Linked DNA regions of Daphnia pulex. The protein of the gene in region 1 purifies or fractionates together with the protein of each later gene. This does not show direct contact. Links are inferred from orthologs where the notes say so. Each region holds a gene or a part of one and is shown in the gene's direction. Other genes may lie near its edges. The genes, in order: regulatory-associated protein of mTOR-like and target of rapamycin complex subunit lst8-like.

What was found.
Region 2: the proteins of regulatory-associated protein of mTOR-like (region 1) and target of rapamycin complex subunit lst8-like purify together in Homo sapiens (affinity purification with western blotting; 15 studies listed by BioGRID and IntAct, with this or other methods). This does not show direct contact. The link is inferred for Daphnia pulex from reciprocal best matches to the Homo sapiens genes RPTOR and MLST8.

What each region holds. Positions count from the first base shown.
Region 1 is NC_060017.1:2,260,943-2,276,781, forward strand, and holds regulatory-associated protein of mTOR-like, read left to right. Parts: upstream 1-6,080; 5' UTR 6,081-6,319; coding exon 6,320-6,505; intron 6,506-6,641; coding exon 6,642-6,744; intron 6,745-6,814; coding exon 6,815-6,936; intron 6,937-7,007; coding exon 7,008-7,439; intron 7,440-7,510; coding exon 7,511-7,819; intron 7,820-7,890; coding exon 7,891-8,199; intron 8,200-8,253; coding exon 8,254-8,661; intron 8,662-8,734; coding exon 8,735-8,887; intron 8,888-8,950; coding exon 8,951-9,254; intron 9,255-9,319; coding exon 9,320-9,456; intron 9,457-9,518; coding exon 9,519-9,613; intron 9,614-9,676; coding exon 9,677-9,758; intron 9,759-9,833; coding exon 9,834-9,998; intron 9,999-10,067; coding exon 10,068-10,174; intron 10,175-10,238; coding exon 10,239-10,355; intron 10,356-10,423; coding exon 10,424-10,851; intron 10,852-10,918; coding exon 10,919-11,084; intron 11,085-11,164; coding exon 11,165-11,290; intron 11,291-11,353; coding exon 11,354-11,558; 3' UTR 11,559-12,289; and 3 more. Other genes in the region: protein SMG5-like, read left to right, coding at 536-612, 684-906, 971-1,203, 1,266-1,344, 1,403-1,509, 1,574-1,733, 1,794-2,981, 3,048-3,193 and 2 more; uncharacterized protein PB18E9.04c-like, read right to left, coding at 3,759-5,293, 5,353-5,440, 5,500-5,676; putative fatty acyl-CoA reductase CG5065, read right to left, coding at 13,216-13,333, 13,405-13,658, 13,727-13,970, 14,108-14,240, 14,349-14,402, 14,468-14,586, 14,654-14,742, 14,805-14,861 and 2 more. UniProt on the Homo sapiens protein: Component of the mechanistic target of rapamycin complex 1 (mTORC1), an evolutionarily conserved central nutrient sensor that stimulates anabolic reactions and macromolecule biosynthesis to promote cellular biomass generation and growth.
Region 2 is NC_060019.1:9,050,555-9,065,828, reverse strand, and holds target of rapamycin complex subunit lst8-like, read left to right. Parts: upstream 1-7,735; 5' UTR 7,736-7,847; coding exon 7,848-8,179; intron 8,180-8,246; coding exon 8,247-8,366; intron 8,367-8,431; coding exon 8,432-8,462; intron 8,463-8,522; coding exon 8,523-8,600; intron 8,601-8,684; coding exon 8,685-8,830; intron 8,831-8,889; coding exon 8,890-9,032; intron 9,033-9,101; coding exon 9,102-9,217; 3' UTR 9,218-9,341; downstream 9,342-15,274. Other genes in the region: uncharacterized protein LOC124191397, read left to right, coding at 4,750-5,155, 5,778-5,879, 5,964-7,006, 7,067-7,159, 7,225-7,653; N-acylneuraminate cytidylyltransferase A-like, read left to right, coding at 10,202-10,331, 11,122-11,274, 11,476-11,664, 12,132-12,285, 12,602-12,749; uncharacterized protein LOC124191396, read right to left, coding at 12,886-14,509.

The sequences.
Region 1 (15,839 bases):
ATGTTCTGCCATTCAATAAAACCCTACCATTATGGCATTATCCCAATTAAATTTTTTGCTCTAAAATCATTAAATCGTTTTCTACGGCGGGGCCGGACTTTATTTTAAAAATGAGTCAAGGGTGGGATTAGATCAGATTTAGCAATTTTTGAATTTAGATCATGGTAAAACTGGTTCTACATAAGTACCGTGATAAGTGGAACTTTCTCTTGTTTGTGATTTTCTAAAATTTCTATCTCTATCTGCGTTTTTTATGCTCACCAGATGTCAGGTTAAGCAGCAGCAGAACCAGACGAGAGACGGAGAGAGTGAATTTCTTTTCTTTTAATGGAGGACTTTTAGGAAAATTTGTTCATTTAAATTAGGCATAATAGTTGTAATTGATTGAAGTTGTTGTTCAAAGGCGGTCCAGGACCAGTCCAGGACGTCATGGAAATCATCGAGTTTCATAGCATATTTAGTCATTATTTCTTATTTGGTTGTAACATTTTCCGAGCTAGGGCTGGCGCTACCAAGAACAAAACCTGACCAAACCATGGCAGACAAGAACCTCAATTCAAAGGCGAGAATGGCTTCGTCTACCAATAATGACACTATTAAAAAACTCATCTAGTAAACCTCTTATCAATTTTATTTTAATACTTGAATCCCAAACCAAAATTTACATCATTTTGGTTTTACAGCTCAGCTTCAATATTGGTGAAACAGTTAGATTCAGCTGTTGCCAAAGCTAGAGCATGCAGAGATCTATTTACTCCAGATATCATTGAGCTTCGAAGCCAACTTTCTTATCTCTGTGTGAAATCAATGGGAGCTGATCCAATCCAATGCCGACGTAGAGCTGAAGAACTTCTCTGGAAGAAGTGCTATTACGATGTGATAACTTCTACCAAAATTAATGGAAAGGTAATAACTATGCAAAATATTTTTAATGCCAATTACAGATTTAAAAAAAAAAAAAAAATTCTAGAAGTCACCCCTTACTTCAATGGAAAAACTTTTTATTGGATATCACATTGAATCGGGGATTGTAAAGTTTACTGAGCTTATGCAAGATGTTTGCCAAAAGCTAAAAAATGTGGACCCAGCCACAAAACTTACACTTCATGTTTTACCACTCTTGGAAGTTAAAATCCTTGATTGTGAAACACATAAAGAGTCCAAAGAAGAGTTAATGGAATCAGTCCAAAAGATTTTGGTTTGGTATGTTAAAAAATTTTGTCGTATACTTTGATTGTAGAAGCTAATCAAAATTTTGTTCAAAGGTTAGGAGATTTGTCCCGCTATAGAAATGATTTGGAAATTTCTAACAGTGTAATTACAGCAGAGCGCTTTTATCATCAGGTAGACAAACTAATTATCACATGTGTTTTTCATGTCTGTCAACTTTTTATTTATTTAGGCAGTTCTTGTCAATCCTAGTATTGGTCTCCCTTACAATCAACTTGGGACTTTGACTAGTCATGATCCTTCCAGAGGATGTGAATCTATATTTTACTATATAAGAAGGTACAATAGCACACTATTATGTTGCTTCTGTATGTATAATGTTAATACTTGTTTTTCTTTAAAGCATGAAAGCCTTAAAAATATTCCCTGGGGCTGAACCTAATCTTAAGGCTTTATTAGTACGTCTTGCCATGAACGAAGACAAACTGATTTCCGCTTTTTCACAATTACTTCCAAAGTTAGTCTTTGTAGGCAAAGAAGAAAATACTTTTGAAGTAAGCCAAGTAAGTTGAACAAAAATTCTGGTTTCAATGTTTGTGCATTAATTAATTGGTTTTTAAAAGCTGTGTCAGGCGGCCTTAAGCGAAATTCAAAAACGACTCTGTAGCAGCGAAAATGAGAGTTGTAACCAACTCTTGGATTTGGCTGCCTGCGTGGTGATGTGTACTGTAACTCCCGCTTCATCAAACCATAATCCAACAGCTGCAATCGCCTTCTGTTGTTCACTTTTCGCTCACGTTCTGAGCAAGTTTCAAGACATTTTCCATCTAAGCTCTGGGAATGCTGACCAACGTAATGGAAATAATGCAGATAAAGAGAAAGAGCCCGTCTCTGGGAGTAAAGAAGAAGCTGATGAAGATGAACTGAGTGACGAGGAGGAAGAAGAAACTAAGCGCGCTAAACTGAGAAGAAGAAAAATTGGATCTGGATCGTCTGATCAAGAATTTTCAGAGGAAGAGATATTTTTAGAAAGTAACTCTGAGCAGGATTCTGAAGAAGAAGAAGAAGTTTTATCCGATTCTGGTTTTCATTCAGCTGAAGCTAAACTTGAACCGCTCATTGAAATCCCGTCAGAAGCTGTATCTCTTTTGCCGATTTTTAAACTCTTGACTGATTGGTTACAAGCCAATGTTCAGGTTGTTCAAGTATCAAATCAATCCATTCGAAAAATGTGGGCAACACTAGCTACCATCCTCAACGTGTTTAAACGCTGTCAGAAAGAAGATGTTGATCAGTACCAAAAAGTTCCTTTAGAAGAAGATTGGAAGCTGTATGGACTGGATTCTATGAGCTTATTCCATGCTCAAATCGATTTTGAGTCTGTTCCTGCACCATCCAACATTTCAATTTTAAATTCTATTCGGATCGAAAGAATTCTCCAATTTGGCAATTGGTTGGCAAGTCAAGGCAACGAAAAAAGTTTCCGACTGGAAAACGGAATTTACATGTGTCCATCCGAAGCAACTAAAGATGAATCCCAGGAACTGGGAATGAAAGCAGATCTCATGATGAGAAACATGGCACACTTGTGGTTGAAGTCAGAAGTACAAGAGCTTGAACGGAGACTCTCACCTCAATTCAAAAGAAAAAAAAAGACAAACTTCGATCTTTCCACTTTATCTTATGTCTATTTGGTACCGGACGTCTCTGCTCTTTCAGATTTTACTCACCTCATAAAACAAGTGATCAAAAGCCAAAAGCTGATTGTAGTAGTACCTGATATTGTCATCTCGGAAATTGATCAACTCAAAGTATTTTCATTTACTTGATTGTTGATCTTACAGCATTTAATGATTTTTTTTTCTCTTGTTATACAGAGGGAAAGCTCTTCTGTTCGGGAATGCATTCGGTGGCTAGAAACCTGCTTTCGTACCGGCAATCGCTTTATTAGAGCACAGCGTCAAAACGAACACCAAGTCATCCCATTATTGACTTATCCGAAACGAAAAGATAAAGCCAACTGGTGAGCACACGAGCCATCTTTCTTAACTCCTAAGTGCTATTGATAATGATTAACCTTCTGGTTTTCTTTAAGGACATTGTTCCAAATACTGGAATGCTGCTGTTACCTGGATACAAACCAGAGAAACGTTTATAAAACTAGCCAGAATTCGCCCATTGTACTGTTTTTGTCCGGCAACACGGCTGAAGACACGGATCAACAAACCAGAGGGATTTGTAATTCGATTGGTAAGCACACATTTCAAAAATTATGTTAACCGAAAATTAAACATCTTTATTTTAGGTGTTGAATTTAAAACTGCAAATTCGTTGATGAAGAAAAGTAAGACGAAAAAACGCTGATACCGTCATGTATAACATTGAATTACGTATTACGTAGCCATATGTGTTTTGATTATTTGCTTGTATTGTAAGAAAAACATTTTGTTTCTCACTCTCCTCGAGTTTTAACCATGGACAATACTGAAACATCAAGAAGTAAACCGTAACTAAAATAATGAAGAAACCGTGGGGAAGTAACTTATGTTAAAACAAACACAAACAGCGCTGCCTTTCAAGTGAAGTAATTAAGAAGTTTGAGTTTCAGCGTCACGGATTTTGACTTTTCGAATAACGGTACGACAACGACAATGATGAGTGCATCTACCGTTAAATTTCTTGCGAACTGAAGTTTTCCAAGAAGCAACGCTTTGTTTTCTTTTTCGAGTAGTAAACTTTGGATTAGCTTGGTTATTACTATTTTCATTGGCGTTTGTAGTTCCGTCCTGGGGATGAATGAGGGAATGAACAGGATAGGTTGTGACCATTTTGCTAGATGATTGGACTAGACTAATAGCTTCTTCTTTGCAATATTCGTGTTGCTCTGATACAATTCCCTCTGTGATCACAACAGCGTGTTCTTGCTTAGGGGGCGACACGTATTTTGAGAAGTCCATTGACGACCCATTTGGAAATGATGTGCCAGGAATAGAAGTATTCAAGTTAGAAGTCTCTTTCATAGGAACAACTGTGTTATTTACAATAACTTTCATTTTCTGAAGGGGAACGGATGAGGATGACGCAAATTGCACGCGCCGTTGTTGAGCAGGAGTGACGACTAACGGCGGAAACATCGACCAGTTTACTTGAGCAGAATTATTATGATTATCAACGTTCGATCCAATGGGAGTTGTTTGAGAAGGTATTGTCGTTTTTGTGTCGTTAATCGATGTGGAGCACGGCAAATACTGAAGGGGAGAATCTTTCATTCCAGGGATGCGTTGATCTTTTGTTGAAAATCCGACGAGGTTCTCCTGGTGTGTTGCTGTAGTAGTAGAGCCCAAAGTTGGTGTTGGGTAGTGAAAATGTTGGTTTACATAATAAGGTCTGGGAGTTGAACAACCGGCAATGGAGGTGACAAGGGTATCTTTATTGCGTGGTGCATACACGCTAGAATCGTCATACTGCTCTCTGGCTGGAGTCGAGACATTAGCTTGATTCTCTTCAGAAAAGTTCTTTACTCTATGCTCAGCTGTACTACTTTCTTGGTCAGAAGTATAGAAATGAACTTGTTTTCGTTGAGCAGGAGTGACGTCTACTGGAACAAACATTGAGCGATTTTTTGTTGAAGGAGCTTCTCGATTATCTGTTTGAGTTCGATTCTTAAAAATTGAGTTTTCTTGTATTATGACTGGTTCGTCGGTAAGGGGTGTCAAGTACGGTAAATTGTGAAGGTTGGAATTATCCCAATTTTGTTGACAAAAACGTCGATCTTTGCTTGAATGTCTTACAGTGTTCTCGCGATGTATGACGGGAGTTAGAAAACTCAAATTTGGTGTTGAAGAGTAAGGATTTGGGTTGAGATAAGGTGGAGAAGGACATTCAACATTTGAGTTGCTGAGAAATGAACTACATCCTGACGGTGAACTTTCTTGTAGTAAAAGAACCTCACCAGGGTTTGAATCCTCATAAAGTTCATTAACCTTGTGACTTAATGGAACTTTTGTTTGTTCCTCTTCAGATGTGCTTGTTATGTGATGCTCAGCTGTACTTTCCTGGTCTAATGAAACAGGACTATATTTTGTACTTATTGATATGTCATCATTGCCAGATCCTTCAGTATCTATATAGAGTAACACAATTATTTGAAATTTTTTAATCGAGTAATGTATTGATGTAGACCTGATGAAGATCCACAAGGAATGTTGTGAAATGGAGTTCCAATCCCAAAATGACGTATTGAGATATCATCATTTGAAACTGCCTCTACCTGCAAAATACATATTTAATAAATACTCCCATCTTTAGTGTCATTAAATTGGCTGTTACTTTAGGAGGAATCATTGTAAACTTCTGTCCATTGATTGGGGAAATCTGACCGGTTTGTTCAAGATCGTCATGCTTCACGAGGTCAACGAGAATTATGCGACTCTGTTGTTGAAAGGCAGTTTTACGAATCTCAGTATTTAGCCGGAAACGGTGTTTGGATCCACCACTCCAGTTCATTTCTTTTTACTTCAATGTGACAATTAGAAAGCGAATACACAATTATTCATGTAATTTTCAATGGCTTTTGGCTTTCAAAAGCGTCCTTCATGACCAAGAATTTTCATGGAAATTCGGTCTGTTTTGGCGCCGCAGCCGGCGCTATTGAAGAGACATCTGTTAAGAGAGGCGTAACCTCCTTAGTAACCAGAGTACCAGACAGACTTTTTCCGTAAATTTTGTTTTTGGTGACATTTAAGGGGAATGGTGGGCCAGAGAGTAAACATACTAAAAAAAACAGACACATGAATTATATATAAGTTTATAATAAGGAAAAAAATTGGGGTGTATACGATTACGAATTCTGTGGGCCTGTGGCGTGCCTGTGGCATGAGAATGATGAGATAGCTTCCATTTTATGTCGAATAGAAAATGGCAACCTTGTGTAGTTGTGTTGGATTCATTTTTTCGTCGTAAAAAATAAACCAAAATCCGTCTGCACTCACACAACAAGAGAAACAATTTGAATTCGTGTCGTAATAATATGAATATATTGTCACTTCCAGTCGGGTGAATGTGTAGCTCATCAAGAGTTCGTTTTGTTTTGTGGTTTTTCAGATTTATCTAAATTTTTGGATAAGAAATCTGATAAATCGTTGAATAGATGACCATGTCGGGGGAGCTCTCGGTTTTCCAGCGTGCTCCATCACGTTCACCTTCTCCCGATGAACAGGGCCAAGATGAAGAAGATGAAGATTGGGCGATTGGATTAGCATTTTCTTCAGAAAGGCACACAGATAAAATTGAAGGATTAGAGGATTGTGCTCAAAACTGGAGATTAAAGGATCGGGTAACCCATGCATTTATTAAGTTACCTTTCCCGTCCAAAATCAAAATTTAAATAGCATTTTGTAATTTTTTCTCCACACAATTGTGCATGTACGGCTTAATAAAATAGGATTTCTTTTATTTTTTTTAAATTCAAGATGAAAACAGTAAGTGTGGCATTGATATTATGCCTTAATGTTGGAGTAGATCCTCCAGATGTAGTTAAAACTCAGCCCTGTGCAAGGCTAGAATGCTGGATAGGTATGTGATTTGTAAAGGGTTGTGTGTGTAGTGTTGTTGCTTTTTTAATGCAATTTTCCTCAATGTGTAGATCCTTTGTCTATGAGTCCACAAAAAGCATTAGAAGCAATTGGCATCAACCTTCAGAAGCAATATGAGAGGTGGCAGCCCCGTGCTCGCTACAAGCAAACTCTAGATCCTACCGCTGATGAGGTACAACCGAAAAATTCTTGTTTGTTTAGAAAAGAATAATTGTGATTAATGTTGTAATTCATAAATGTCAGATTAAAAAAGTAACATCTACTCTCCGAAGAAATGCTAAAGACGAAAGAGTGCTGTTTCACTACAATGGGCATGGCGTTCCGAAACCAACTGCCAATGGAGAGATTTGGGTCTTCAATCGCAGTTATACGCAATATATACCGCTCTCGATTTACGACCTACAAACTTGGATGTGGTCTCCGTCAATTTACGTATTTGACTGTTCAAACGCTGGCATGATTGTGGACGCGTTTCAACAGTTCGCGGATCAGCATCAGAGGGAGTACGAACAACTGATGGCTCAATCAAGAAACACATTGCCTTCTCAGATGACACCACCTCCGAATTTCAAACAGTGCATTCAGTTGGCTGCATGCGCAACTAATCAGATTCTTCCTATGAATTCCGAACTGCCAGCTGATATATTTACTGCATGTCTCACAACTCCTATTAAGGTAACTAGAATATGTTTTAAGATAAATTGGAAATTTAATGTACTATTCCATTTTTTCCCCTATATCAAAAGATTGCACTTCGATGGTTTGTTTTACAAAATACTTCCCGTTTGGTGCCCCGAATGACACTTGAATCAGTCGACAAAATCCCCGGGCAGCTTAACGATCGCAGAACTATGCTGGGTGAATTAAATTGGATTTTTACCGCTATAACTGATACGATTGCTTGGAATTCACTTCCACGGGACGTGTTCCAGCGCCTTTTCAGACAAGATCTTCTTGTGGCTAGTCTTTTCCGGAATTTCCTTTTAGCAGAAAGGATACTTAAGTCGTATGACTGCACGCCAGTCTCTTGGCCAAAGTTGCCTCCTACGTCTCAGGTTATTAGGATTTAAAGTTACCTTTTCACATTATTTAAATGTCTTATAATTTCGGCATTCTTTGATTTTAGCACCCAATGTGGTCTGCTTGGGATTTAGCTCTTGACATTTGCCTCTCACAGCTACCAGGCATTTTAGAAGGCAAGGAAACCTTCCAGAATTCCCCTTTTTTTGAGGAACAGTTGACGGCTTTCCAAGTTTGGCTTTCGCATGGGTCACAAAAGAGATCTCCTCCAGAACAACTACCTATTGTTCTGCAAGTTCTTTTAAGTCAAGTTCATCGTTTAAGAGCACTTGAACTCTTGGGGCGATTTTTAGATTTAGGCCCTTGGGCTGTCAATTTGGCGCTGTCGGTCGGCATTTTTCCATATGTTTTAAAGGTTTGCTTTTCTATTTTAATATGTTCTACTCGATAACTGAAATCTTCGTTTTAGTTACTTCAAAGTTCTGCGCGGGAACTGCGCCCATTACTTCTATTTATCTGGACGAAAATTCTTGCTGTTGATGTTACCTGTCAAGCGGATTTAGTCCGTGATGGAGGACACAAATATTTCCTCTCTGTTCTTCAAGATAATTCCGTGCCGGATGATCAGCGCACGCTGGCCGCCTTTGTGATTTCTAGAGTGGTCTGGAATCATCCTATCGGGCAGGATGCTGTTTCTCAAGTAGCTTTTATCTCGAATGCCCTGGAAATGGTCTATGAAAAGGATAAATTACTTAGACAATGGATCGTCATTGGAATTGGCTTAGCTTGGCACAATGCTATAGCTGCTCGTTGGTCGGCAATTCGAGACTCCGCTCATGAGAAACTATTTCCGTTGTTGCGAGATTCTGTTCCTGAGGTATTTACAACATTGTTGATTATATGACATTAAATCTGTCGAATTTCAGTCTTATTTGTTTATGTATGTTAAGGTTCGAGCGGCCACTGCTTATGCCCTAGGAACGTTTATCCATAGTGGAGGAAAGACGGAACGAAATGAACTTGCCAACAAAATTGATCACGCAGTGGCCTTACAACTGGTGAATGTTGTGAACTCGGAAGCTAGTCCTTTGGTTCGCAAAGAGGTATAGTAGCTTCTTTTCGCTTTGGGAATTGAATATTCGTTAAATTTAATTTTCTTTCTAAAGATCGTTGGCGCTCTCCAGTGGATTGTTTTGATATTCGAGTCCACGTTCATTCAAATGGCTGTTCAACAGATAGAAGAGGAAAAGAATAAAGACTCGAACAGTCTCTCTCCAAACGTGGAAGTAACGTTAACTTCTTCTGGTAGTCTACAGAGGCCCACGCGTCGTTCGCGGGCCTCCACATCCAATGCGATGAACCTAGGCACAAGTCCGGAACTATCAGATAGTGGTTTCACCCATTCCACAAACTCCGGGCATCCAGATCATATTAGACGAGCGGTTTCTATTTCCTCTCTCAGTAGCCTTAGTAAGATTTTAATAGTAAGCCAAAAATTGATTAAAATAAAATATTTCTAAATTTTATTTTTGCAGCGAGTTCCACTTTGCCTAGTCTTGCTTTTAACACTATTTACGTCAAACTTTGGCACGGACTTTCAAGCATGGAAAAAGATCCTTACCTGGAAGTCTCTACGATGGCAAAGAAATTAACGGATTATGTGCGGAATAAGGTATTTCCTTTTTAAAAATTACGCAGTTGGTCAGCCACTTAAACATAACATGCATATTTCAGGCTAAAGAAGTGATAGCTTCACGGGAATCAGACGTTAGTCGTCAATATACGTATTCCAATTCGAGTAACGATTCTATGGATAAATCCCTCTACATGTAATGCTGTATACTATTACAATACCTCGTACAAATAACGAATATATTTGAGACTTGTTTCAGTGGGGACTCTCCTCCACGGGCCCTTGTCCAACGCACTACTCCCTCATTCAACAGAATCAGGAAACGAAGCATACCATCTACAGTAATAACATTTTGAACTGGCTTCCTCAACCGAATGTTTCTTACTACTACTCAATTATTATTTATTCGTTGCTAGATTGTGGAAGAAGGTGAAAGTTCCAAAGAGTTGAAGGATCCTTTAGTAGTAACCGGATTTGTCGAATGGTGCGCTCGTCATTTTGCTGAACCAGCTGCGTCTAATGAAGATTTTCAAATCAATATGAAACCCAATCACGAAAAAGAATTAACTATTGAATTCGAAGTACAACCTCAACATGGATTCTATGATTTTTTAGAATTATTATTGATATATTTTTTTGTTCTCAACTAGATATGCGGGAGAACACGTGAACGAGACACTGAAATGTACTACACGCGCGAATGGCGATATACAAGAAATGCTTCCGTTCGCCATGAAGCTAAAGAAGAATGTCAAAGGTGAACTCAATTTCAGGGTTTTTACCTGGTTTTTTAATTTAAAATTCTATGTTTATTTATTTAGACCAAATAAAGCAAAAATGAAAGAGGTTTTCTGCAATCGGAATCCACTGGTACCTTCAGTTATCCGCTTTCATCCCTACGATCCTTGGCTTGCTGTAGCAGATAAAGAAGGATGCACGTAAGAAACAATTCTTTTATGGTGATAAAAGTTTTTCTGTGCTCGACGAAAATTGTTCTATAATGCAGAGTATGGGACTGGGAAAGAAGCGTCCGTCTTGTCCATTTTAACAATCAACAACAACCCAGGGCTGCTCGAATTACATCAATGGATTTTGTGAACGGACATGATGATGCGTTACTTCTTATTGGTGCAGATGATGGGTCGTGCAGAATCTGGCGGGATTTTATTCGAACAGGATCTCGATCAGCAAATGCTGTTGTCGAAGATCACACTGGAGTTTCTCTTGTTTCAGCATGGAACTGTATAGCTGAAATGGCACCATCGACTCGATGTTCCGGTCTGGTTTTGGATTGGAATCAGGATTCTTTACAATTGCTAGCAACAGGCGATGTTCGCTTGATCCGCATTTGGGACGTAGAGCGTGAATTGAAAGTCAGCGACTTTCCTACTGGTTCAGAAAATTGTGTGACCTCCGTTCATCATAACCCGCGAGGTTTTGACCAAGTTTAAGAAATTTATATAATCGTTTGCGCAAATTAAATTGATAATTTTGTCTTCAGATCGATCGCTCTTTGTAGCGTCATGTGGAGACGGATCAGTCCGCCTTTTTGATCAGCGATGCAGCGCTGCAAAATCTAGAGTTATGACTTGGAGGGAGCATGCTGCTTGGGTCATAGATTGCGAATGGATTTCGGTTGAAGGAGGTGCCAACTTAGTGAGTGGCAGGTAACAATCATCTCATCGTATTAATCGTTACATTGTATGAAATTACGTTTGATAACTAATAGTTGTTTTTTTTTCTCAAGTCTGGCGGGTGACATCAAGTTCATGGATCCTAGAAATCCCAACTCGGTTCTCACCGTAGCCACAGCGCCTAATTCGCAAGGAATGACTGCCATGGCAGTCCATCCCAAGGCTAACTTATTTGCTTGGTAAAACAGCTTTTGTGTGGAAAAATGCTTATTTTCACTAACATGCATCGTTTTCATTATTAGTGGAATTGTCGGGCAGTACATTACCGTACACGACCAAGAAGGAGAAGTGCGTTCTACTATCGCGTATCACGACGGCGGTGGTCTTTTGGGCTCCAAAATTGCAGCTGTCTCCTGTTTAACCTTTCATCCACATCGGGTGTGCCTCGCTGCTGGAGGCATGGACTCGATGATTTCTGTTTTTTCTTCAGATAAGTCAAAGAAGTAGAATGGTTTGCTTTTGTTGACTCACCGTCAAGATTCGTCGTTTTCTTTTTTTCTGTTGGAGATTTTTCAATTCGAGCCGCGAGACCTCGCATATGTTAAATACCCAGTTACAAACAATCACTATTGTGAGCGAAAGATTCAAAATGAAGCATCCTCTATATTAATTCATGCACCGAATTAAATTAATTGTGTATCTTAAATGTATTTTTTTTTGTGTGTGAAGCTTCCTGCTGACTTCTTATCAGTTTATTCATTGGGTATGATTTTCATGTTATTATATCGAGCTATGCTCACGTTACACAAGATAAGTTTACATGCCCATGCTGTTTGGGTCGACGTTCTCAATCCATGTGAGTATTGGGTAATACAAAGTAATTGAATACCAAAAACTTTGTCGATGAATTTCCGTCGTCAGAATGTTTAGACGACATTGTTCGACTTAAGTAAAAAAGAAAATGTGATGCTTCGGCTTTGATCTTTCTACCCGTTTATCAGTTGTTGCGATAAGGTTATCGGAACGGAGCTTTTCCGTTGTACTGATCAGCTGGTGGCCAGATCAATCGTTTATGTGTTTGAACGCAGTGAAAACCAACGTCGCATTAGCCTTTGTTAACCTCGTATTGAAAACGGGATTAAGTTGTCAAACTCACCATGAGGATTCCCAGGTTTACTGAGAGCTGGTGTGGCTGTTCTCTTCAAACGGGGACTAAAATTATCAGCATCTTTTCTGTGGTACGTTTGGTACACCTTGTTACATGTAAAACTCTTTTGATGCTTATGATTATGTACATATTATCCTTAGGTAGTAAAGCTTCTTTTAGTGATTTTACTGAGTATCGCATGTGCCTCCTTCGATGCCCTATACAACGGTCCCCATGACGGTAGATTGTCTTGAAGAACTTGAAAAGACGTAAACTAATGTTCAATATTGAATTCTGCAGGAAAATACAGTGCAACTTTAGCGGTACTGATAGTATTCCTTATCGCCTCTATGTGTGATTTGATGGTTTCGTTTCTTTTGGTCATGGCGGCCTATACGCAACGCCCAAATCTGGCAAGGCCGTGGCTCGTAGTTTTTATGGTTTCTCTAACAATTGATGTCGTTGTTTTTATTTCGTCTGTTACGAACGGAGACTTAGCTGTTGCCATCACTACACCAATACGGATAGGTGATAGCCGTTTTGTCATAACTTTTTTCTTCAAGCGGATGATAATAGATAAGCACTTACGCATTATTTTTTAAATGTAACCACTAGGTTTTGGCCTATACTTTTGGTTGGTTGTCTATAACTACTGCGAAGAACTTCGTGGGATCCCAATTATAGGGACCGATTACGGAGACGCGGAGAGAGCCCAAGAAGATTCTCTGCTGAGACCTTATCAAACATTATAAAACTCACGTTCCGTGACCATCTACTAACAACTCCAAACGGAAAGAGTTTATGAAATTTACAATACCTTTTAATGAACCTGGAAACATTATAGAATTCACATTTTAAAAAAAATCCCAAACTGTGTATTGATTATATTTTACATGATTTCACCGCAATATTTTTGTATCTTTTATCTCAATATAATATAAAGTCTTGGTGCTATATATTACTTCTATCGGAGGGAACGAGAAGATTCGTGCACCTTTATCACTGCAGCTGCCAATTTTACAATAAAGATGGAAAGGGGCTTTGGAAAAGACTTCTGGTTTTGAATCGGTTGACCACGGAAAGAACAAAACAGAGCGACATCAATGAGCGAAGAAAGACTTTCAGGACGTACATTCTGCGCATATGTTTGAAGCAAAAATTAACTCTAATGTTTTTTAAAGTTTGGAATCAAATGTAAAATATTACCTGACGAGGGTTTTTCTTGCTTGCGGAAGAGTGCTAGGGTCGTCTTTGAGAATAAACAGCCGGATCCCTTGGACGTAAGTTTCAAAATAGCTACGCCAATTGAGTTGACGGACATCAAAATCAAAGATTTTTCGATCGGCTGTCGACATTTTGGACTGGATCGTCAGCGAATTTTCACTAACAAACTGCCATTGGTGGCTATTAAAAAAGCCTAAGTTTGAAATTGCCCTAAAAACTCGTTCATACAATTTCACCTGTTTCATATTCAATTAATCTTTGTTATGAAAACAAATATTTATTGCATTTTTAATATTCTGGGTACCATTTTAGCTCGTTTGCCAAAAAGTTGGCTGGTGAAGTCCAGAAGATATGCTGGTAGATAATGGGTGAGAAAGACATTGATTCTGAAATACCAATCACGGTTGGTGCATTCGCCGCTTGGGCACCACATAATCTCCTTCGGCGGATATTTAGTGACAGCTTCTTCTGAAAACGACCTCATTTGATGGATGGTGATCGGATTGTGATAGCTCGTAGAAGACGTATAAACAGTGAGTTGTGAAGGTCTGTAACAGGAGACGTATTCAAGGGTCGATGACATTTGGAGAAGTAAATAACAGATAGGTAATACTCATTCCGTGTTTATGACAGAGTCACGGAGTAGTGCAACAGTTATAAAATAAATAAAAAAAATTGTCGTTACTTTGTCGTAGCTTGATGCCAGGCGACGGCTATTATAAGGTTGACAGCATAGTCAACAGGAATTAGATCGATGACACAACTGGCTTCACACTTGAAAAGCCTGAGGAAACCCTTTGCTCCACCTGCAATTAGGCCTGTCAAAGCAATAAAAAGAAACGCGTTTGGCAATCTTTAATATATCAAAGCACGTCGGCAGTAAAAAAAAAATGGAGCAGTTCAATAGTTTCTGTCATTTTTCTCACCAGTCGGTCCGTAGAGGGAATCGATCCATCCAGGTGTAGGTTCTTTGGCGGCAGCTATATAGGACGACACAAATATTTCTCAATATTCATAACAACAAAATATGAATAAATTAATTCACCTGTAACGATGGAAGGACGGACGATTGCTAATGGAACGTTGTGCTTTTCTCTTTCTAGAATTTGTTCGGCCAAGGATTTAGAAAATGTGTATGTGTTTGGGTTGGATTTTCCGAGCAATCTAATTAAGCGTTTGTATGTGGTATTAAACTATTAGACTCTATGTACTTGGAGGTTTTAATTCTTACTGTTTTGTTATGCTCCGAGTAAAGTCACCATCTATACTTTCTAAAAAGTTTATGAGTTTGATGGGATCAATGTGCGATGGATAAATCATCTGATACAAAATAATAATAAATACATCGAATTAAACATGCATGAAATAAAACTAAGATTCACCTCGCCGACAACATCCCGATCCAGATTATTGAAAGCGGTCGATACATGGACGAAAGCCTTTTTTGAAAATTTTTCAAATGAATAATTAGAGCGAATGAATTTGTGGTCGAGAGAGAAGAGAAAAAGAAACAAACTTCTAGCTTCGTCATTTTCTGGCAGATGGCCAACAGCTGCCTCGGTCCTTTCACATTCGTTTGCAGCGCATCTTTCAATTCATCATCGAATCTTACACTGGCAGCTGAATTGATGACGATTGAAACGTCTTCAATGAGCAATTGCATGTCGGCTGGAGAAATGCCCAGTCCTGGCAAGGTCATGTCTCCAGCAACGGCAAAGATTTTGTCTAGCGCGTTTGGCTGGTCAATCCAACTAAACACCTAAAAATATCTTTTCATAAGAATAGATAACCCAAAAAGGAGAACATAAATAAATCAAACATTACTTGATTGTTGATTAATTCATTGCGACGGGTTGCGATATCTTTGTTGGGAGAAGTTCTCATGAGCAGGTAGAGGCGTTTAATTTTTGGACAAGAACGGAGCAACTTTTCAACCAACACTTTACCAACAAACCCAGTGGAACCAGTAATGAAAACCGATCGATCCTGGAAGAAATCGGCGATGATGCTCTCGGATGCCATTTTTATTTTTCACCGTAGCCAACACCGCTGAAACAAAGATGGAAATATTTTTTTGCTAGGGAAACTAACGTAATAACTACACAGAAGACCTTGCAAACCCACTCTGTTGTCTGCCGTGTGATGTGCGCAACTGAAAGCCACGCAATACTACGGCCGCCTTTTACTTTTTGTGAGCAAAATACACGCAATCAAGATAGAGAGTGTTTTTTCACTTCGCGTTTCGTCATATTTTTTTTTAACTGTAGGATGTAACTTAATTCTTGTTCTCTTTCGAGAAGGTTTCATGAGCATTAGTACTTCTTAGCTCCTCCCCTTCAACGTATTGATAGAGACACACTGACAAGTGGTTCAACCTATAGACTAAATTGGTTTCATTTCTATGTAACGAAAATATT
Region 2 (15,274 bases), on another chromosome or scaffold:
AACGAATTGTGGACGATCACAACGAGCAAGTACCTACAGAAAGCATTGAATTAATAATTAACAATGATGACATCAGGTTCAAGACCAAATTTTTACAACAATTGTTATCAGTATCCTTTTGGTTGACTTTCAATAGAAACATTTGAATGTTTCTTCACTGTACAATTATCATCACAGAAATATTCACATTTCGTTTGCACACACCAAATATTACTCACATTTCCAACTTCTTGTAGCCATGTCTGATGGTGTTACTGGATTGCTGCACAGTCTTGACTCAACATCCCATATCAGTAGCAACACCGTCCTGTTCAAAAGAAAACACGTTTCAGTAAAAATGTACGATCGAAGGAATATGCAACACAAATCTTGAATTCAGTCACGCTCTCGGACATTTTTTCATGACCATTTCGAAAAATCCGTCACAATAAAGCAGAGGAATTAAGAAAACTCAACACTACAACATCGTTGAGAAAATCTCAGATATGATTCTAACTCGGCCTTTTAATTCATCACAATTTAAAAGTATTTTTATTCATGCCTTACATAATCATTTACTCACCCTTCATTCCTTCTGTGATGTGATGAATGCAATGGTGAAAAAACTGACGATATCCTTTATTACAAAAGAGAAATAATTAGCTCTCAATTACAAAGGCAATAAACGGACATGAATAATTTAAAAATATGAATCAGATAAGATCAAAGATTATGTCATCACAGCAGGGTGTCACAGCAAAAGTACCAAGACCAACAGATCTGAATATTCTCAAACTTTGCAGCAAGAATAAATAGATACCATCTTGGATCTCAGATACTATTGAGGGTCACACCAGGTCATTTTGCTTCATGGTTTTAATCACTTTCTCATGCCTAATATCAAACAAAATTAAAGACATAGAACTCACTCTTCAATGTCATGCCTTAACCAATATGGTATCCTGCATCTTGTCATCAACATTAGTTGCAAACAATTTGTACTAGAAGGATGGCGTTCATTTAAATTAGATCTGAAAATCAACAACTTGAATTAAGTACAATATTCTTTCAATACTATAAACCGAGAATACCTCACAATAAATTGTAGACAGCGGAAGAACGTTTCTCGTTGGAATCACTTTTCAAAATGGCTTATCAAGAAATTTTGAGACACTTCTTCAACTTCATACAGCAACGCCAGACTTTTCTTCTCGGTACTCGCAGCGCTCGCGGCATTCACAAGTCGGAGAGCAGCCATCTAATGGCAATTTTGAAATGCGAAGGCAGGAAGGCTGATAATTCGTTACGGAAAAATTTGTGTAGTCCCCAATTGCATTAATAGATATTCAGGAAATGACAACAATAATTAAGTTAAACACTTGACTTTTTACTTTTTAGAGCAAAATAAGCAGCAAATTCTATTCCGCCTCTTCACTTTTTGCTACTGTTGTTATCCATCTAGTGAGTAAACTAATAACTTCGATCATACTATTTTCGCCATTAAAAATTGTTCCTTGATGGCGTCTCGTCATTAGAAAAGAATAAAAATGGAAAATGTCTGAGCTTAATAACAAGAACTGCATTATCAAAAATTGTTTAAAGGATCCTGCAGAAAAAACAGCCCTTTTTCGTGTGCCAAAAAATTGTTTTTTGAGATGGAAAGAGTTGGTATCAAACGAAAAATTCTCTAGTAAATCTCGAATATGCAGTCGACACTTCGATGAATGTGATATTAAAAAGGGGATTTACCTTCTTGGAGACTTCTATCCTTTATCCGTTTGGAGATTAAATTCTGGGGCTGACCCAAAGCATTTCCTCGGTAATTATTCTATTTTTAACATGACTTAACGACAACTGAATTGCATTTTCGTTTGAAGACTTGCCGTCAATCAAGCCAACCAAAAAAAGGAAAGTTCTTACAGATGTTACGTGCGACTCTGGTTTGACGATTCCAGCAATCTCAAAAGGTATAAAATTTTAGGTGTGTTCAATCCTTTAAAACACTGAAGATTGATTGCACATCATAAACATAATCTTAGTGATAGGGTAATGTCTCAAAATCTGGACAGGCCTGAACGCTACAAATTTTGGACAACCGAAGAAATTTTGGTTTAAAAGTCCTATATGATGAGCAAATATCGCGAAAACTATGCCATTATGAAGAATTTTTGCCATTCTATCTGGGTTTGCAAAATATTTACTCTAAATGCCTGAAATCTCAGGAAATTATTAAAATAAAAGTTCTGAAAAGAACTTAGAAAATATGAAGTTTCTTGGCCTCATAAATCAAGCTGGAATAACATTTCTAGATGATATTTCTTGCTGTTTTAGGGCTCAAACGAAAGAATTTTGTTCATTCTTCACATTTCAGCACTTCAAACTGCGCCAAAACTGCAAATTCATGGAAGAAATCTAAGTAGAAGCTTGCTGGCGATAAATCCCATTACACAAAAGCTGGACAACCCCCCCTTTCTAAATCTGGACAACTGTAGAAGCCACAGGGTGTCGCTAGTTGAGGTGTACGCCACATTTCTGGCCAAGCGTTCTTTTTAATTTCAGCTTCTTGACATCTGAAAGCAATTATGTTTATCCTGATCTCATTCGTGTCTTATCTATACATTCAATAAAATAGACTATAATAAAAAAAATAATTGCTTTATTTTGCGATTGCATTTAAACAATTTCATAATTTAGCAAGCTTCCACGGTTGTGTGGTAAGGTGCTTTCTTTGGTAATACTTTGGATTTTGGGTGTCTCAAGGTTCAAATCCAAATCTCAACAAAAATTTTTTCATGAAAATAATTTGGAAATTGCCTAAGGGTGTCCAGAATTTATAACACGCTAGGGATAGCGTGGAAATATATTCTTTTTTAAGCTTAGATCATTAACCAAAATATATAGATATCTATTCTGCACTAAATTATCATTCGTAGCCGTATCGGTATAGCGTCCACCTGTTAATCGGCCTTTTCTCGTGGCACAGGTTCAAATCCTTTTTGCTCCAAGAATTTTCTTTTTATAAAGTATTTGGGCATTGCCTAGGGCTGTCCAGAATTTATAACACGTTAGAGATGGCTTGGTTATTTTTTCCTTTTTTTATCTTTGATCATTCTTCAAATTATTACAACATTTGTCATTCAATTAAAGAAGTCATGTAGCTAATATGGTAAAGTGCCGTCCTGCCGATAAATTGGTTTTATCATCAGTATGTATGTTCGAATCCAGATTCCGTTAAAACTCTTTTTCATGAAATAAATTTGGAAATCGCCCCAGGCTGTCCAGAATTTATAACACGCTAGAGATGGCTTAGAATTTTATTATTTTAAAAACTTCTACTAATTTAAAAATCAGATTAACATCAATTTCATTTTCCGATAACCTATATAGCTATGTCGGTAAAGTGCTTACTTCCTCATTGTGATTACGATTAAGGCCATGGTTCAAATCCCATTCCGAAAAATATTTTTCATGAAATATATTATGAAGCGGAGAACGCCCAGAATTCAAAATTACTTTCATGAAATTGATTTCTATTGAAGTAGGATTTGAACAACGGCGCCGATAATGACGACCGTTGGAAAATATGCACTCTACCAATAGAGCTATAGCGGCTGTTATTGAGAGAAAAAGATGTTAATATGGTTTGAAAAATTATGAAAGTTTTAAAAATAATAATTTTCTAAGCCATCTCTAGCGTGTTATAAATTCTGGACAGCCTGGGGCGATTTCCAAATTTATTTCATGAAAAAGAGTTTTGACGGAATCTGGATTCGAACCTAAATACTGATGATAAAATCAAGTTACTGGCAGGACAGCACTTAACCATTCTAGCTACATGACACGTTATAAAGAATGACAAATGTTGTAATAATTTGAAGAATGATCAAAGATAAAAAAGGAAAAAATTACCAAGCCATCTCTAGCGTGTTATAAATTCTGGACAGCCTAAGGCGATTTCCAAATGAATTTCATGAAAAAATGTTTTTGCTGAATCCTGGATCCGAACCTAGGAACTTTAGTTATCCATAACCTCTCAGGCAGGCCCTCAACCAGTTTAGCTACATGGGTAATCTCGGGGCAAAGCAAATATTGAAATAGTTTGAAGAATCATGAAAGTTCCCAAAATAATAAATTTCCATGCCATCTCTAGCGTGTTATAAATTCTGGACAGCCTGAGGCGATTTTCAAATGAATTTCATGAAAAAATATTTTTATTCAATTCTGGATTCGAACCTGGGAACTCTTGGTTGTCCTTAACTTTTCAGGAAAGCCTTTAACCACTTTAGCTATGTGAGTCGAAAATTTTTCATGGTAAGGGTAACTTTAAACCATAATGCTGACCAATATTTTCAGCATAGACTATGAAAATGGTCTTAGATCACTCTGAGAGAGGTATAAATTAAAACTGAATTGATGAAAACGTTATTATTATGGTGCCACTTTATGCGTTTATTTTATCACAATCACAGTCGAATCATTCAAAGAAGACCCGTTTTATTAAGTTGTGGTTTCTGCTCATAGATGGCGCTGGTGGTTGTCCAGAATTTTTACAAACTGTCCAAGATTTTTGGCGGTTGTCCAACTTTAGGAAGACGTTTGGCCTATCTCAAGCACGCAAATATGACATAGCCACAAAAGTGTCCAGAATTAGTGACACTACCCTAAATATTTAATTTTTTTAAATCTATTTCGCGTGAAATAATTTCATAACATGGTCTTGTACGGTATATCCAATTATCCAGAGCCATTAACTATGTTTACCGGTCTCTTATGGCGGAATATTCTCTCGGAGACGGATATATATATATTTATTATAACATATGCAAAAATATTATGCGATGTATATCTCCCGCTACTAGCGGCGATAGTCTCAACTTAATACAAAAAATGGCGAAAGCTAAGCCATCGTCACGAAATTGTATAGTTCCCAATTGCATTAATAGATATTCAGGAAACGCCGAGAATAGAGAGAATTATACTTTATTTGGAGTGCCAAGCAATAGTTTCAATGCATGGCAAGACCTAATGCCAAACGTAAAATTACATAAAACATCGAAGCTGTGCTATCGCCATTTTGACGATTCTGACATTGTCAAAGGGTACAATATTCTAGGTGTGTTTCATCCTTTCATCCGGTGGAGATTAAAAGAAGGCTCAAATCCCAAGTATTATATTGGTAATATTATAAAATAATTGGGTAATTTTCTGTACAGAAGTTGGCGTTGAACACTCGTGTATAGTATATTGTATTTGTTATTTAAGAAAAATGTAGTCTGCTAGTCTCGGGGCGTCTCACCTGTGTCTGTCGGTGTCGGGAGTCCCGAAGTTTATTAGTTACATTGCCGTTCAACAACCTACTAGTGAATTGTTTTAAATTGTGTAACATTGTTTTGTTAACATGGGGAAAAAAGAACACAAACGGTGTTTTATTAGTGGTTGCTACGGGAAAAGGGATAAAGAAAATGCTCATGTCGGAGTTTTTGGTGTGCCAAAAGCTTCATTAAAAATTTGGCAAGACATAATTCCAAGGGGAGGCTTAACCACTTCTTCGAAGATTTGTAGTCGGCATTTTGACGACGACGATATAGAAAAAGGAAGAACAATTCAGGACAAATTTTACCCTTATTCTAGATGGATGCTAAAGCCTGGTGCTCTCCCAAAACATTTTTTAGGTCTGTTTTTTTACAGCAATATAGAGAAGAGTTTAGATACAGTTTTACACATTTAGATATAGTTAAACGTTTTAGGTTTTACTTGTGATTTCAATTTTGATTGTATTTTATTTTTTTGTTTATCAGGACATTCATCAACAAGACCAACAGTGGCCAGCTCAACATCACAGAAATCAAAAACCACCCTAAAAAATTCCTGTAGTTCTAAAACTTTGCCAATAGCAAAAGGTAACTTTGCATTGCTATTTGTTATCTGATTCTTTTTCAATTATCAAATACATTTTTCATTTTTCATTATGTAACTTCTCACAGATCCACCTTTATTGTTACCTAAACCTAAAGATGGAAGTGGTTTACCTATTCAAACTAAGACTGTTCCGGAATCAAGCATCAATTTTTCAGGCCCAAGCCATACTATTCCTCTTCCAGTTGATGGGCCTATAACTCACTACATCGTCGTTCATGATAATATTGCTGTACCAAATAAACCCACACTAACAGTAGACGGTGGGCTAAATGTAAATGGTACTCTGAGCAATTTGGTCACACCTACGGTGCAAAATGATCGTATGGATGTTAGTTCTTCTGCGTCTTGCAGTTTTGACCACAGCTACGTACTGGTACCTCCACGAACACCAACTTCTCTAGAAGAGAGTGCTGCTGCGTCATCGACATTGCGCAATTTCGAATCAGCTACATCTCAGGAAGCACAAGAAAATGCTGGCCCAAATGAATCGGATCACAATTACGTTATTCGTTCTTCTTCGACCCCTACTGTGAATGAGGAGGAAAGTTTCCATTTGGGTATGGCGGGTTACCACAACTTCATTAATGGTGTCGTTACTCCTACAGCTGAATGGACTTGGTCCTTCAACGAACGAAACAACAATTTAGTTTGTTCTTGTCATATTTTTTCCCATGACGGTGTGATGACTATAAAATCTGTTAAAATTGTCACCATGACCAAAGTTGCGTTGTATCTGAATGGAAAACCCATCACGCCTCCAGATATGCAATTTGAGTTTCGAAGTAAAGCTGATTTAGCAAATATTCTTGAAGATTTCAATTACAGAAGAACATGTCAAGGAATTGTGGATGATTCGCTAGCAGATACCGAAGTGACGGGTAAATGTGCTGGTATCAAGGAAGGCAATTTGTGGCGCTCAAAAATGTGCATGGGAATTGCAAACCCTCCTGCTTCCGCTCTCTGTTCAAAATGCCGCGTTTTTAAAAATTATTTGAAGAGAAGTACAAATAATCAGAAGACCAAGAAATTGAAAAATTCGAAAGAAGATTATAAATCGAGGTTGCGTTCCACCAAGCAAAGGTTGACACGATCAAATTCTAAAATTGAGGTAAATTATTGTTGGATTTTTTCTCGGAATAATCCTTTAATAGTTCTTTCTGAATTTCAGGCTCTTTCAGGTACCATAGAAGGTTTGCGCAATGAAAGGAAGAAGCTTTACTGGAATAGCTTTGATGTGAAATTAAAGCTTTTAAAGCCCAAAGTAATGATTAATTGATATGTCAAATTTCTCTTTTCAGCTAATTTACAAGAATTACTCACTTTTAGGAACAGCTAGTTGTTAAAACAATGATGGCCAAAGCAACAGTGAATCCTGGAAGAAACGATCGATTCAGCGCAATGCGTTACGATCCCGAATTTCTCAAAGAATGTTTACGAATCAGAAACAAAAGTTCTTCGGCGTACAAGCATTTAAGATCCGAAGGCATTCTTCCCCTACCGAGTCAGAATACACTCTTAAGAATCATGAAAAAAACAGATCTCGGTGATTCTAATAAATCAACGCAACCGGATCCACAAAACGTCTCCGCCGAATCAAATTTCATGGAACAAACAAATGTGGAAAATGAATGTCCTGCCTTACCCCACTTCACTGAGTCCGTATCGCCTACACCTGAAATAATGTTGCTACATTCAGAAGAAATACCTGTGTCTGTACAAGAAGAAATGATTGTTGAAATCTTGTCGGTTCAATAAAATGTGATTTAAAACTTAAAAATTTCTCTTCTTTTTTTTTAATTTCATACCTTTCGTAATTTGGCAATGCGGCCTTGGGCTCGTAGTTTGAGTTTCTGATCGTCGTCTGCTAGTAGAGTGATTTCAGAAGAAAAACAATAAGGAAATTTATTTTGTTGGTTTGACTTAAACGTCAAACAATATAATAAAACCTTATGGGTAATAATAATGGAGATCAAGTTATATTAGCTACAGGAGGTTATGATCACTCAATTAAATTCTGGCAAGCCCACTCGGGAGTGTGTACCCGGACGGTAACACATCCCGAATCGCAAGTGAATGCTCTCGATATCACCCCCGACAGCCAGCTATTGGCAGCTGCAGGATACCAACATATTCGCATGTATGAAATCAACTCTTCTAACCCCAATCCCATAGTCAATTATGAAGGTATTTCACGAAATGTGACTGCTGTTGGATTTCACGAAGATGGACACTGGATGTACACTGGAGGAGAAGACTGTTCTGCAAGAGTTTGGGATCTTAGGTATCATGTTTCCTCGTATTATTGGAAAAAACATAGTTTGATTGAGTTCTCATTTGTGTCATTCTAGGACAAGAAATTTGCAATGTTCCAGAATATTTCAAGTCACTGCCCCTGTAAATTGTGTTTGTTTGCATCCTAATCAAGGTGAACTATTGGTAGGAGACCAAAGTGGTGTCATCCACATCTGGTGAGATTTTACGTACCTTTCTTATTCTGTTGGGAATGATTGTAACACATGGATTGCTTATATAGGGACCTGAGAACAGATCACAATGAACAACTGGTTAGTATTGATACCTCAAGTATTTCCATTTCCATAATAATATCAATCAAATACTTACAGATTCCAGAACAAGATGCCTCCATTCAAGACATTTCCATTGATTCTTCTGCAAACTTCATGGCAGCCATTAATAACAAGGTGCCCATTATTGATGTTTATTCTTAGTTTCCCAACCAAGTCTTGAGATGTTTTTTTTCCTTTTCTCTCTCTACACAAATAAAGGGAAACTGTTATGTTTGGAGCCTCATCCCTGGGACTAAACTGCCGGACGGCGAAGAAGGTTCGACACCAACACAGTTGCGACCGAAAAGCCGTTTGTTAGCTCACAAACGTTACGGTCTCAAATGCAAATTCAGCCCTGACGCAAAGTATACGTTCGCCTCGTTTTCTTTGAATTTCTTTTTCAATCTTACAATTGATCTCGCAGGTACTTGGCCACGACGTCAGCCGATCAAACGGCCAAGTTATGGAAGACTTCCGATTTTTCCCTTCATTCCACACTGCAAACTGAAAATCAGCGCTGGGTGTGGGACATTGCCTTCTCTGCCGATTCACAATACGCAATAACAGGTACTTGACTCTTCTATTCTTCATCCTGGTTTTGTCTGCCTGTCTTGATGAAACATTTCGTTTATCCAGCTTCGTCCGACAACACAGCAAGGCTGTGGAGTATAGAAACGAGCGAGATAGCTAAAGAATACATTGGTCATTCAAAAGCTCTTACCTCATTGGCATTTCAAGACGGGACACCGTAAATTGAACATTTTACCATAATTTTCCCTTTTTTTTGGTTTTTTTTTTTCTTCTATTTTTCTCAAATGTATAAAATGTTTTTCATTGGCTTTGATACACTTAGGAACGCCTGAATTTTTAATGGTACCGTCCCACCTCACTTGTAGAGGTTGATTCATTTGGTAGAGCGGGAATCAACTCACCTATCTTGTGTCGTATTGGCTTTGGCCCCCTCAATCTCAAGACAAACGTCAACGTCAAATTGGATTAACATTCAATCAGTCGGGCGTAATGGGTTTGGGATGGCGTGACGAATTTCAGCCGAATGGAAGCAACCAAGCGCCCTATCCTCCTCTATTCATGTCAAGTCATCCATTTCTACAGTCCAGCAGAAAGGAGAAGGGAATAGTCTCGCGTACAACGAACGTGGGGCTCATCTATCAGTATTAATCTCCTTAGTTGGACACTAGCCTCGATTCTTGATGAGATTACCGAATTCAGGGCACCGAGGATGGACTTGATCGCTCCCGTGCCGGCCATTGTTTTTTCCAAACATCTTTCTTCCGCTCCTTTTTTTATCAGTTGGTTTTCCATCACTTGAATGTCCCATCACTTAAACCACCAATGCGGTGGACCGGGTTGGTCGTCGCATTAATCTCATGTCGACCTCTGATGTTTGATTCCGTAAAAAGTGCCAAGACTCCACATGCGTGCTGGCATCTAGCGACCAATAATAGCAGCTAACAGATTTGATTTCAGGATCCTATCGATCGGCGGCCGGGTTGCTGGCTCTTCTCTTCCGAGGCGGTGGTTGGGGAGAGCACACACAGCTTCCTCAAAAGAAACAAGACGTTATTTACTTTTGTTGGCTACGCTTACGTGAGACCCAGTGGAGTTTTAACTGCTGATCCAGGCCGGCTGAGAAGTAGAACCGAGAAAGAAATCCTGAATTATTGTCCGTCATAACAGAGGGATTGCTTTAGTTGCAGTGTCGAGACCAACTGCTGATGACGATGCACGTCGCCGGATTGATCCTTGCACGGGGAGGCAGCAAAGGAATCCCGCTCAAGAACTTGGCCTTACTCAAAGGCACGCCGCTTCTTCTCTGGGCGCTCAGGACCATGTCACAATGCAAAGGTAAATTACTACTGTCGCTACTATGTAATTCGATTTTAGTTTGTATGGCCGCAACCCCACAATTTTCTCTTCCAATGTTGAGGGTAACATTCTCCTTCCCGGCCGACATACGTGCAAGAATGAGATAGGTGTTTCTTTCTCCTTCTCGCAGCGCTTCAATTGAATTTGGATTGGCATTTTTTCATTGGATATTTGAGTAGGAAGGTTTTTTCATCATGTGTGTGTGTGTGTACAAGGAAAGCGAGATAGACGTCTAGCTGTATGCTCATTTGTGCGTGTCTAAAAGGGATGCCGAATGCAGTCATTCAGAAGGAGACGATCCGAATTCTGCGCCAACTGAGGCTGTTGGTGGTAGTCAGACTGGAATATAGGAGCGTTTTTCGTCTTCGTCGTCGTGGGGGGGAGAGAAAAGGCAACGGAGCGTGCTTGGCTCCAATACTACGCCCTGCCGCTCCTGTATAATAATAATATAGCTCCTAACCTTTTCTTTTCTTCTTCCTTTTTACAATAAATATATATATATGATTGGATGGTGGTGGTAGTAGTAGTTTTGTGTGCGTTACCAGGAGGATTGGAACGCCAGCGCAATTTTTTTTTTCTCTCTTCTCACCCGGCGCATTGCACGCAGCGCCTTCAATATGTGTGTAGATCCCAAAAGAATTTAGAAACTTTTTCCTCGCTGGTCCCTTGTGAGTCGAGTGATGAACGCCCCCAAGTTGTGATGTAAGGCGCGTTGCCAATGGATCGATTCAACTTGCAGACTCGGAGATTTGAATGTTCTGCCCAGCAGGTTTGACTTCCATTTGGGTGTCGTCCGACCACCCAGACATTCTTCAATTGGCCCTTGAAAACGGAGCCCAGGTCCATCGCCGGTCAGCCGAGACGTCGTCAGATGGAGCCACTTCACTGGAGGCCATCAACGAGTTCTTGGCCAGTCATCCGGGTATGATATTTACTGTAATAATAACGATGGGTACATCAGTGGTCTCGTCCAACAAAAAAGGCGTGCACAGTGTAACGATCGTCGTCGTCGTCGTCGTTGTCGTTCATCATCAACCTCGCAACAATGATTTGCTGTGCCGCTGATGCTCTTCTTTTCTCTCTCTCCCCCGGCCTTTTTTTTTCGGTGCCCACATACACACAGAAGTCGACGTGGTGGCATTGATTCAGTGCACGTCGCCTTTCGTCCGCGTTGCGCATTTGAACGAAGCCATCGCTAAAATGACGGCCGGATGCTGTGACTCGGTCTTCTCCGTCACGCGCTCTCACTCGCTGCGCTGGATGCAACTTGCAGAACCAAAAATCGAAAGCAGCAGCAGCGGCAGCGGCAGCAGTGAGTCCTTCGGTTGATTTTCTTGACTTTTTCTTTCAACAGTTGTGCCCAATTGCTGCAGCAGTTTCCCCATGTCCTGAATTACTGATGCGCACGTTGCCGTTGCCGAGTCCATCCACAGCACACAGTCCAGTCCGGGTCCTTCCTGTTCCTAGACATGGGCATTCTACTGATGCTCTGTCTAACCTATTCCGGCCTAATACCTCCGCTGTAGCTGAATATCCTCCCTCAACATGTCTCTTTTATTTGTAGATCCTTTCATCTCCGGGTCCTTCTTCCTCTTTCGTCTCTATATAAATACGGCCAGCTCTTGATGCGCTCGACATCTTTCAGCCTCTCTTCTTCTTCTTCTTTTTTAAACTTTTCTCCCGTGTCTCCAACTTTCTCTTTCCACTTCTTTTGATGATGTGGTACTACTTTTCCTCTTCCTCCCGTTTTCTTTTTCTGCCTCCACTTTTTGGGATAAGGAGCGACGGTGGATGCGGCAGAGATCCGGGCGGTCAACTTTGATCCTCATTGTCGACCCAAGAGGCAGGACTGGAACGGCGACTTGGTGGAGAACGGCGCGTTTTACTTGAGCTCCGTTCAACTTTTGCGACAAGGACTCATTCAGGGTGGAAAGTAAGTGCCACCCGTTACTATCTTCTCCCCGGTTTCTTAATTTCTCCTCCTTTTCAAAATAAGTGAACCGATTGATTTTTGAGAAAGACACGATTACCTGCATAGAAAATTCCCATTTTTATTATTATTATTATTCATCTTTTTCTTATTGGAAATGCTCATTAGAAACTCTTGAATGATCATGTACACGTAATACGATGCAGTGGAATGGCCCTTAAAATTAGATAACACAGAGATCAAATATGTACAAATTTTTTTTAAAATATTTCATAGAAAACAAACCAACAAAACTTTGTTATTTTGTTCCTGTTGCAAGGATTTCCTTCGTAGAGATGAGCGCAGAGTGCAGCATTGATATCGACACCGGCTACGATCTGTGGCTGGCCGAGCAGCAGGCATCCTATTTCAACATTGAGCCCGGTGGTGGCGAGTACATTCAAACATTTTTTCCCGCCACTTTGTGATTTGTCATGCAATGAGATTTGATTTCCTGTAGACTGCATTTCATTTTTGGCAATAAAATGTTTCGCTTCCGCACTAGTATTCTCAAACGGTCGTCTCCAGATCCAGATCGTCGCTCTCCAAAGTGCTGGCCGATTGTCAAGAGACGGCCATTTTCTTATCGTAATGGTACAAGGACGGAACTTTGTTTATTCCATCCGATTTGGATCCGCCGCCGCCGACTATCTTGATGTTAGGACCGCCGACAACGACCGACCGATTGCTGCCGATGATCCCGTTGTCCGGTTGTTGGTAGACGTAGTCGTTGAGAGCCGCTACTGGCAGCGGCCGGAAAGATCCTCCGGCGGCACCTGGCGACGACTGCGACGGACTGGAAACGAGCCCAGCAGGATCGGTTGCGTTGTTCTGATCGTTATAACCGGGCTGTTTGAGCGGATGCTGACCGTTGCGACAGACCATGACGGACGAAACGACGACAAAGAGGGACAGCAACGTACTTCCGGCTGCAATCAAATACCAGTAGACTTTGGGGACGCTCCACGACGAGATTCGGGTGCCGGGTGGTTGATTGTTGTCGTTGTTGGATGTTGTCGGGGTCGAGTGCAAGCACTGCTGGTCTGATTCGTCGACCCCCGAAGGGCAATCGTAGACGCCGTCGCACCACAATTGAGAGTCAATGCAGGCCTTGAGTTCCGGGCACCAGGTGGAGCAAAAGAACCACGGATAGAGTTGCTGCGACGGAGGTGATGAAACGGAGCCGAGATGAGGTATCACCACTCCAGTCAGCATTGATTTGTTGTTGAAGGGGTTGAGGACGGATTGCGGTGTCAGTTCCAGCCATTTCATCGTGTACGAGCCACTTTGAATGGCGATGAATTCAATCACGACGCCTCCGCTCACGTCCTGCGACGATTGGTTGCGCCATTCGTCCTCATTCTCCAGGTCCAGGGACTTTACCGCGTCCTCGGCGTTGAACGTTGAACTGAAAATCTTGACTCCTCCTTCCGGGTTCAGAGACGGGCAAATGACGGCAAGCGGGCGACCGTCAGCCTGTCTGTCCGAATAAACGACAATTCGATTCTTGGTGGGGCAATCGATAGCAGCGCCGGATTCTTCTTCTCCATTCGATTGATTATTCATGAGGAATCCGTTGGCGGATAGGAAAAAGAAACGGTCGGCTCGGCTCGGCAAAAGGAACCAACTCTGTCGATTGCAGACGGAATTTTGTCGGCCCAGCGTCAGGCCCCGCAGCCCGTCCAGTTTGATGATTCCTCCTGGGCCCTGCAACGGCTTCAATTCTGATTGGCTGGCGCATTTCATACCGCTACTCGTTCCTGGACTTCCCCCGAGGAATTCGTAAGAGATTTCGAAAAAAAAATCGTGATAGTCGTCGGCGTGAGTCATTCCCGTCACTTGGAAGACGACTTCGACAGCGCTGCCCGTCGAGACGTAACGGAACGGCAGCTGGAGGCCGGCAGTGTCGCAGAGACAGTCCCTCTGGAGAAGGACGTTGTGTCCGGCAGTCTGCCCTGCCCATGGCCGTTCCCTCAACTGGAGGAAAGCCGTTGAGGTGGTAGTGGTCGATCCATTGCCGCCAGCCGCTGCCGGCGAGTAATCCGACCGTAAAATGTGACAGCGGCGCTGGTGGGTCAGCGGATCCAGGCGACTGTGGCACTGACTACCAGGTCGTCCCCCGAGGCGAAGGCGGGTCACTTCGACGGCCACTCGCATCGTCTCCTCTCCCTGGAACCGATAGACGCACCTAATTTTTCATAGGGAAAAAATAAAACAACAAAAGTTGGAATGAGAAAATGTCCATTTGGGTAATGAATTTCATGCTCTCCGCCGAGGCATACGTGTAAGTCGTCCGAAATGAATCGGGACAGTGTTATGCGCAGCGATTTATATTGTCTTTAACAGTAGCAGCTAAATCTCTCTATGGCGTCCGTCACCGCTTAATAGAGTGTTACACAATGGTAACCATGGGGGCGCGCGGCCTGCCTTTACATAAATCATTCAAGCAAGTTGTTGCCGCTGAAAACACAGAAGAATGGGAGGGAAAAAAACCGTGTCCAACATAAAAATGTATTCATCTCTGTCTCGCTGTATAAGATATTGTCCTCTTCTTCTTTTCATCCCCAATTCTCTTTTCAATATGAAAACGAAAAACAATTTCCCATTTCTTGGGTTATTGTATTCGCTGACTGTCAGCAGAAAGAATAAGCAAATAGAAATCGCGAGAGGACCATCTCTTTTTTCGTTGAACGATCGATGAATTCAACAAAAAACAAGTTACCCGCCAGTCTCCATTCGGTGTCACCAGGGAGAATTCAAAAGTTAAACCTCTTTTTTTTTACTGTATTGAATATACACACAAAGAAACTGGCCGACATTCATGACGAGTTGCGAAAATGGCAAAAATAGCAAAAGTCTAAATACACATCGCAAGTTGATTCCATCGCAGCGGCTGACGAGTCCCTGTGGATTGCACATGGCTCCACCCACTCATTTTGGTCGGACGAAACCA